Macaca mulatta: one gene and its partner. The protein of the gene in region 2 purifies or fractionates together with the protein of the main gene of each other region. This does not show direct contact. Links are inferred from orthologs where the notes say so. Each region holds a gene or a part of one and is shown on either strand. Other genes may lie near its edges.

Region 1 (4,250 bases), on a different chromosome or scaffold from region 2:
AGTGAGACCCCATCTCTATGGGGCTGGAGGATCACTTGACGTCAGGAATTCCAGACCAGCATGGCCAACATGGCGAAATCCCATCTCAACTGAAATTACAAAAATTAGCCAGGTGTAGTGACGGACACCTGTAATCCCAGCTACTCAGAAGTCTGAGGCAGAATTGCTTGAACCCAGGAGGCAGAGGTTGCAGTGAGCATCACTGCACTCCAGCCTGGGGACAAGCCCAAAACTCCCTCTCAAAAAAAAAAATATATATATATATATACACACACACACACACATACACACATATATATATAAAATTCACCTAGTTTTTTTTTTTTTTTTTTTGGAGACAGAGTTTCACTCTTGTTGCCCAGGCTGGAGTGCAATGGCGCAATCTCTGGTCACTGCAACCTCCACCTCCCGGGTTCAAGCATCCCAAGTAGCTATGATTACAGGCATGCGCCACCATGCCTGGCTAATTTTGTATTTTTAGTCGAGACGGGGTTTCTCCATGTTGGTCAGGCTGGTCTGGAACTCCCGACCTCAGGTGATCCGCCCGCCTCAGCCTTCCAAAGTGCTGGGATTACAAGCGTGAACCACCACGCCCGGCAATTTTATTTAAATTTTAAGGTAAAAATCCCATTCTTTCTCCAAACAGTTGATTGTTCCAACATAAATTTTGGAACCCCTTCCCTACTGATATGAAATACCACCTTTGTAACACTAAATAATCTTATATATTTCTAGATTATTCTGTTTCACCACTCTTGTGTTCCAGGGTTGCTACTTACATTTTGATTATCAAAGCTTTATTTGTATATTCTCTAGTACAAGTCCTTTTCCCATTCTTCTCTTCCAAAAAGTTTCTTACTTTCTAGGTTTACTTTTTCAAATGAATTTTAAAACCATTTTGTCAAGTTTTCAAAAGGAAATCTGGTTGGAATCATGTAAAACTGCCAGCCATATCTCTCTGTTGCTATTTTCCTCAGTGGTAAAATGGAAATAACAGTACTTACCTCGCAGGTTTGTTATGAGAACTAAATAAATTAAATACAGTACAAAGTATTTAAAACACCAAGCCAGAAAGATGTTAACTATAATTACTCAAAAGTGACAGCTATTATGATTGCTCAATAAATGTTTTCCAGATGTGTTCGCACAATCTTCAAAGGCTCTTTTTAAGATAAATCAAAAGGTATCATAAAACATAAGCAGTGGTGTGGAAAACAATTTATACTTTTCTTCACCAACGCCTTGACCCTTCTTTGGTGAAATAAAGAGCTGGAACTGGGAGCAGAGACCAAGAAAAATGCCACAGGCTACCAGGTCTCTAAAATTTTACAAAGCTAGCCCATCAAGTGGAAACGAAGACTTCTAGGCCCTTCTAGTCAGCGTTATGGGTGATCAGCATTTCCCTTTAAATACTACTATTTCCCCATCTCCACAGTTATGACAATAGTAGTTACCTTTTGATTTCCTCCCAGAAAATACATAGGGATTAGATGTCTAAAAGACAGTATTTTTCAAATGAGGTCGTGGGCCCCTATAAAGTATAAATGGGAATGATAAAGATGGAGAGACATGCCCAGAATATTATAACAAATTACCTCTACCAGGTTTCCCACATCACTGTAAAGATTGAGAGGGGAGAGGCTGTGGGTTTTTTTTTTTTGGGGGGGGGGCGGTTGTCTCATTATAATTGTTAAGAATTTGTTAAATTTTTTTTTTTCTGCATTGAAATTGAAGTGAGGAAGTCAGAGGCCGTATGAGGGGCCTTAAGAGGTGATCTCCTCTACTGAGCTGAATGAGAAATGGAAGACGAGAGTGGAAAGATGAAACCAGCCAAAGGCCTGGACCCCAGGCCTCCGAATTCCCAGATCTCGGCTCATCCCAGTACACCACACAGCTTCTCACCGACGCTTGCCACGCTTCGAGGTGGGAGGAGTAAAAACAGGCAATCCGACCGCAGCAAAGACGCTGGAAAACCACAGGCCGGCGCAGTCGAAGGCACGTGACCCGCCACGCCCCCCCCACCCTCCCCCTGCCCCGCGCCAGCAGCACGCGCTGCCAACCTCGTCATGTGACCTTCACGCGGCCCCAGCGCTCCCCCTGCTTGGCGACTCTTTCCAGCAGCCATTTTGCTGAGAACTTGTCGTCTGTGCTTGCCGCGGAGCAGGACGCCGCGAAAAGCCGCGGCCAGAATTTACGGGCCGCACACGCGCTTCGAAAGAGCGCTCAGGCCGTCAGGGCCCGGTCGAACCTCAATGAACACGTCGCACCCCGGGGCGCCGGGGAAAGCTGTGGGTGCGCCTCGGCCTGAGATTGGCTGTGGCGTCCACGTGACGCCTCAGCCCCCTCCCCGCCACCTTCTCCTTCCCCCCAACTCACAAAAACACCCAGACTGTTAACACCTCGCGCCAAGAACACGCCACCAGGCGCGTGGGGACGGGCGTAGCGCGTGGCAAGCAAAGCGCCTGCGCGTACCTGCCAGGGCCGACAGCAACCGACCCACGCGCCGTTCCGCTCGCGGGTCCCGGAATCCTCGCGCTGCTGGACCACCCGGCTAGTCATTGGCTGCCAGTTCGGGTCACGTGCTGGTCGCCGGCCCGCCCCTACCCGCTAATCACCTGGCACCGAGCTCGAAGCGGCGCCGAGTCGTTCGCACGCGGAGAGGGAGGGTAGTTAGAGGGCCATCCTTTTCTGCCATTATGGAATTAAACTCATAAAGAGGAAACGAGAAACCAGAGGTTCAAAGCTAAGGAAGCTCGCACCTACCGGCTTAACTTCGCGCGCCTCTCCAGGAGCCGGGAACCATCGCCCTTGGGCGCTCCCCGATGCACGCCGGGATACGCCTGGCGCCCCTCGGTGTGCTGCAGAGCATGCCGGGAAAGGCACCTCTCCCGATCTCCTGGCGCTCACCTCCCGGGCGTTCCTTTCGTGTCCCCTTTGAAAGCCCGATCCTTGGGCTTGGAATGAGACGGTTTGGGTAATTATGGGAGTGTGGCGAGGTATACCAGGCACTTTGAGCCCCTCCTCCCCGACTTGTTTGATCTGTGTGGTCTTGGGGAAACCGTTTAACCTTTCTCCACGGAGCAAGCGTTAAGTGTGTGCCTGCTGAGTGACTTTGTAAAGATTCAAAAAAAAAAAAAAAAACAGCAAGGGTATTTGCCTACAAATGAACTGCCAGCCTTTCCTGGCCAATGAAAAAGAATGCTAATTTAAATGCAACTTACCAGGAGCCCCACATGAGAGTGGAAATGGCACTTGGAATTTCCCTTGGGATAGAAGATGAGCCCTTTCTTGCTAAACTCACTGCTACTGTTGGGGAAAGCAGGGTGATAAGAGCATGCGGCGTTTTAAAGGAGGCAGGGACATGCCTGTATCACAGTTACTGGTTCCACCTCATACGAGATACGGTATATTGGAAACGAGAAAAAAAAAAACACCGTCTCCTAACTCAGAAAAAGTGGTCAGGCATCAGAACCAATTAACTTTGTAACATATTCACAAACTGCCCTTCAGGCCAAAACCTAATATTTTACTCCCATGAAACCCCCACTTAAAACAATTCACACCTTTTCTGCTTTGAACTCCATTCTTCAGCTTTGCCGATTTCAGAACGATTTCATCAATTCTTAAAGAGATGATTAAGCTTGAAGAATTTGACTAGCGATGGTCAAGCTCAAGAGTTCTTATTTATAGATTAAAAATTAAATGTATCCATTTATAATGTGGTTATTAAGCCAAAATATAGTTTGTGGCACCCTTTTCTAATTTCAAGGTACTTCATAAGCCTAATTATCAGAAAATTATTCCCTGACTAGAAAATCAAAAGAAAGGGTATTAGATGATCATGTGTAATAAAGAGCATTAAATTGTAAGCATATGATGTTATATTTGAAGTTTATAAAACATTCTAATATTCATTATGTATAATCCTTATAACAACTCAGAGAAAAGTGCCATACTAGTATTACCATTTTCTGAGTCAGTCTTGAGTGGGAATCTGGAAAAACATATTTTAACATGTTCTCCAGGCAATTGTTATGCACAACTGGGTTTGGGACATATTGGCTGTAGTGGAAAGAACCCAAGGTTTGAAGTCAGACAGATCCATGTCAACTTGCAGCTCTTATACTTCCTGCACTCTGATTGTGGTGACAGGTTTTTAAACTTTTTTTTTTTTTGAGACCGAGTCTCAGTCTGTTACCCAGGCTAGAATACAAAGGCATAATCTCAGCTCACTGCAACCTCTGCCTCCC
Region 2 (3,600 bases):
CCTCAGCCTCCCAAGTAGCTGGGACTACAGGCGCCCGCCACCAGGCCCGGCTAATTTTTTGTGTTTTTAGTAGAGATGGGGTTTCACCATGTTAGCCAGGATGGTCTCAATCTAACCTTGTGATTCGCCCACCTCGGCCTCCCAAAGTGCTGGGATTACAGGCGTGAGCCACTGCGCTCAGCCTTATTTCCTTTCTATTCATATTGTCTTCTTTTCATCCCTTGCCTGTTTTATCTTTCTCTCTTCTATCCTCTTCCAACCCTTCTTTTAGAATCTTAGGATTTAGAACTAGAAGGAACCATTAGAGACCACTTAGACCCGGGATTCTGCACATTAGAATCATCTAGGGGAGCTTTTAACAAACTATAGGTGCCAATCTCCCATCACAGACCATTAGAATTTTAGGTTCAGGCTTTTTTTTTTTTTCTTTTTTTTTTTTTATTTTTGAGACGGAGTTTCGCTCTTGTTGCCCAGGCTGGAGTGCAATGGCGCCATCTCAGCTCACTGCAACCTCCACCTCCTGGGTTGAAGGGATTCTCCTGCCCCATTCACCCGAGTAGCTGGGATTATAGGCGCCCAGCACCACGCCTGGCTAAGTTTTTGTATGTTGAGTAGAGATAGGGTTTCGGCCGGGCGCGGTGGCTCAAGCCTGTAATCCTAGCACTTTGGGAGGCCGAGACGGGCGGATCACGAGGTCAGGAGATCGAGACCATCCTGGCTAACACGGTGAAACCCCGTCTCTACTAAAAATACAAGAAAATTAGCCGGGCGAGGTGGCAGGCGCCTGTAGTCCCAGCTACTCGGGAGGCTGAGGCAGGAGAATGGCGTGAACCCGGGGGGGCGGAGCTTGCAGTGAGCCGAGATCGCGCCACTGCACTCCAGCCTGGGGCACAGAGCAAGACTCCGTCTCAAAAAAAAAATAAAAATAAAAAAAATAAAAATAAAAAATAAAAAATAGAGATAGGGTTTCACCATATTGGCCAGGCTGGTCTATGAACTCCTGACCTCAGGTAATCCACCTGCCTCGGCCTCCCAAAGTGCTGAGATTACAGGTGTGAGCCACTGTGCCTGCTCAGGCATTTTTAAAAGCTCCCCAGGTGGGTCTAATAGTGAAGTCACGGGCCAGGCGCGGTGACTCACTCCTGTAATCCCAGCACTTTGGGAGGCCAAGGCAGGCGGATCACCTGAGGTCAGGAGTTCAAGACCAGCCTGCTCAACATGGCGAAACCCCTACTAAAGATACAAAAAATTAGCCGGGCGTAGTGGCACACGCCTGTAGTCCCAGCTACTCAGGAGGCTGAGGCAGGAGAATCCCTTGAATCCGGGAATCGGAAGTTGCAATGAGCCGAGATGGCGCCACTGCACTCCTGCCTGGGTGACAAGAGCGAACTCTGTCTCAAAAAAAAAAAAAAAAATGAAGTCACAATTAAAACACTGATCTAGCCGGCCGTAGTGGCTCACGCCTGTAATCCCAACACTTTGGGAGGCCGAGGTGGGCGGACCATGAGGTCAGGAGATTGAGACCATCCTGGCTAACATGGTGAAACCCCATCTCTACTAAAAATACAAAAAAATTAGCCGGGCTTGGTGGCGGCACCTGTAGTCGCAGCTACTAGGGAGGCTGAGGCAGGAGAATGGCGTGAACCTGGGAGGCAGAGCTTGCAGTGAGCCGAGATTGGGCCACTGCACTCCAGCCTGGGCGACAGAGTGAGACTCCATCTCAAAAAAAAAAAAAAAAAAAAAACACAGATCTAGTTCAGTCCCTTTACTATATAGATGAGAAAGTAGAGCCATAGAGGTTAAGTGACTCTGGCACTTTTTCTTCCTATAAATTTTTTCTCTCCTTTTTTTTTGAGACAGTGTCTTATTTTGTTGCCCAGGCTAGAGGTACAGTGGTGCAAACATGGCTCACTGAAGCGTCAACCTCCTGGGCTCAAGCAGTCCCCCCCTCCACTTTAACCTCCCAAGAAGTTGGGACGACAGGCGTGTGCCATCACACCAGGCGTTTTTTTTGTTTGTGTTTTTTTGCAACAAGGTCTTGCTGGGTTGCCCAGGATGGTCTCGAATTCCTGCCCTCAAGCAATCCTCCCTCCTTGGCCTCCCAAACTGCTGGGATTACAGACAGGAGCTACCATGCCTGGCCTCTTCTCACTTTCCTCTCACAAACTTTTCAACACTCACCTATTCCCCCAGTTGTCCTCATGGATTTCCATTAGCTCCTCTGTTGACATATGGAGCCAAGGGAGGCCAAGCAGCAGCACTTTGTTCAGGTAGATTCAGGATATACATGCCAGTACCTCCCATTCCTTCTCTTACTCCATTAGCCTTGGTCGGGGCAGGGGCTCACCTGGTTAATGCAGTGCCCCAGGTTTTGAAGGGCCCATCATTTTGTTGGCTTTGAGGTGGCCGTATCGGGTGAGTCATGTGCTAAGTTCTCTTCCCAGCTGTCTGTGAGATGTGTGGTATCGTGGGTACAAGGGAAGCCTTCTTCTCCAAGACCAAGAGGTTCTGCAGCGTCTCCTGCTCCAGGAGCTACTCCTCCAACTCCAAGAAAGCCAGTATCTTGGCTAGATTACAGGTGAGAGGCAGTCACCTGGGTCCTTCCCGGGGCCTTTGGTGCTGAGATAGGAGCCACTAATTGACTGAAGGCAAGGGCCAGGAAAGTTTGAAAAGCCCCTTGCTGGTGGCCAGCTGGTATTTATTATGTTCTCAAACTTCAGTGGACAGAAGAATCCATTTATGGAGCTTTTTAAATTATAGGTTCCTGAAGCTACCGTCCATTCCCTACCCTCATCCCCCAGAGTCTGGTGTGTTCGGTACATTTTATTTTATTTTATTTTATTTTATTTTATTTTATTTTATTTTATTTTTGAGACGGAGTCTTGCTCTGTCGCCCAGGCTGGAGTGCAGTGGCCGGATCTCAGCTCACTGCAAGCTCCGCCTCCCGGGTTTACACCATTCTCCTGCCTCAGCCTCCCGAGTAGCTGGGACTACAGGCGCCCGCCACCTCGCCCAGCTAGTTTTTTGTATTTTTAGTAGAGACAGGGTTTCACCATGTTAGCCAGGATGGTCTCGATCTCCTGACCTTGTGATCCGCCCGTCTCGGCCTCCCAAAGTGCTGGGATTACAGGCTTGAGCCACCGCGCCCGGCCTCTTGGTACATTTTAAACAAGAACTCTGGGGAAGGCTGACGCCCTTGGTCTTCACCCCACACTTTTATACATCCTTTGAAAGGAAGCTGGGAAACAGGCCCAAGGTTCACCAGCCATGGTGGCTTCAGGAAGTCCGTGCCTTGTCTGACTCCATGTCACAGGCAGCTACCTAGAAAGTCTTGCCAATTTTCTAAATTACTGACATTTATAGAATTTTTAGAGATGGAAAGGTTCTTGGATGTGGTGTTGAACCCACACATTTATTAAGTATACTGAAGTCCAAGGAGGTAGAATAACATACCTAGTGTGGCTCTGTACGAAGAGAATGGCAGAATTGAGGCTGGAACCTAAGCTCAGGGGCTTGATCTTACATTGTTTCCCAGTAGCTGTGACCAGCATCCACAACACTGCTTCCCAAATTTGCCTGCAAGCTGGGATCACGTGGAAA

Evidence for each region.
Region 1: the proteins of L3MBTL2 (region 2) and MGA purify together in Homo sapiens (affinity purification with mass spectrometry; 3 studies listed by BioGRID and IntAct, counting the BioPlex papers as one, with this or other methods). This does not show direct contact. The link is inferred for Macaca mulatta from reciprocal best matches to the Homo sapiens genes L3MBTL2 and MGA.

The regions. Positions count from the first base shown.
Region 1 is NC_133412.1:18,988,901-18,993,150, reverse strand, and holds the start of MGA (MAX gene-associated protein), read right to left. Parts: upstream 2,839-4,250; 5' UTR 2,764-2,838; exon of another isoform or gene 2,473-2,763; intron 1-2,472. UniProt on the Homo sapiens protein: Functions as a dual-specificity transcription factor, regulating the expression of both MAX-network and T-box family target genes. Functions as a repressor or an activator.
Region 2 is NC_133415.1:10,298,014-10,301,613, reverse strand, and holds part of L3MBTL2 (lethal(3)malignant brain tumor-like protein 2), read left to right. Parts: intron 1-1,880; exon of another isoform or gene 1,881-2,444; coding exon 2,445-2,578; intron 2,579-3,600. UniProt on the Homo sapiens protein: Putative Polycomb group (PcG) protein. PcG proteins maintain the transcriptionally repressive state of genes, probably via a modification of chromatin, rendering it heritably changed in its expressibility.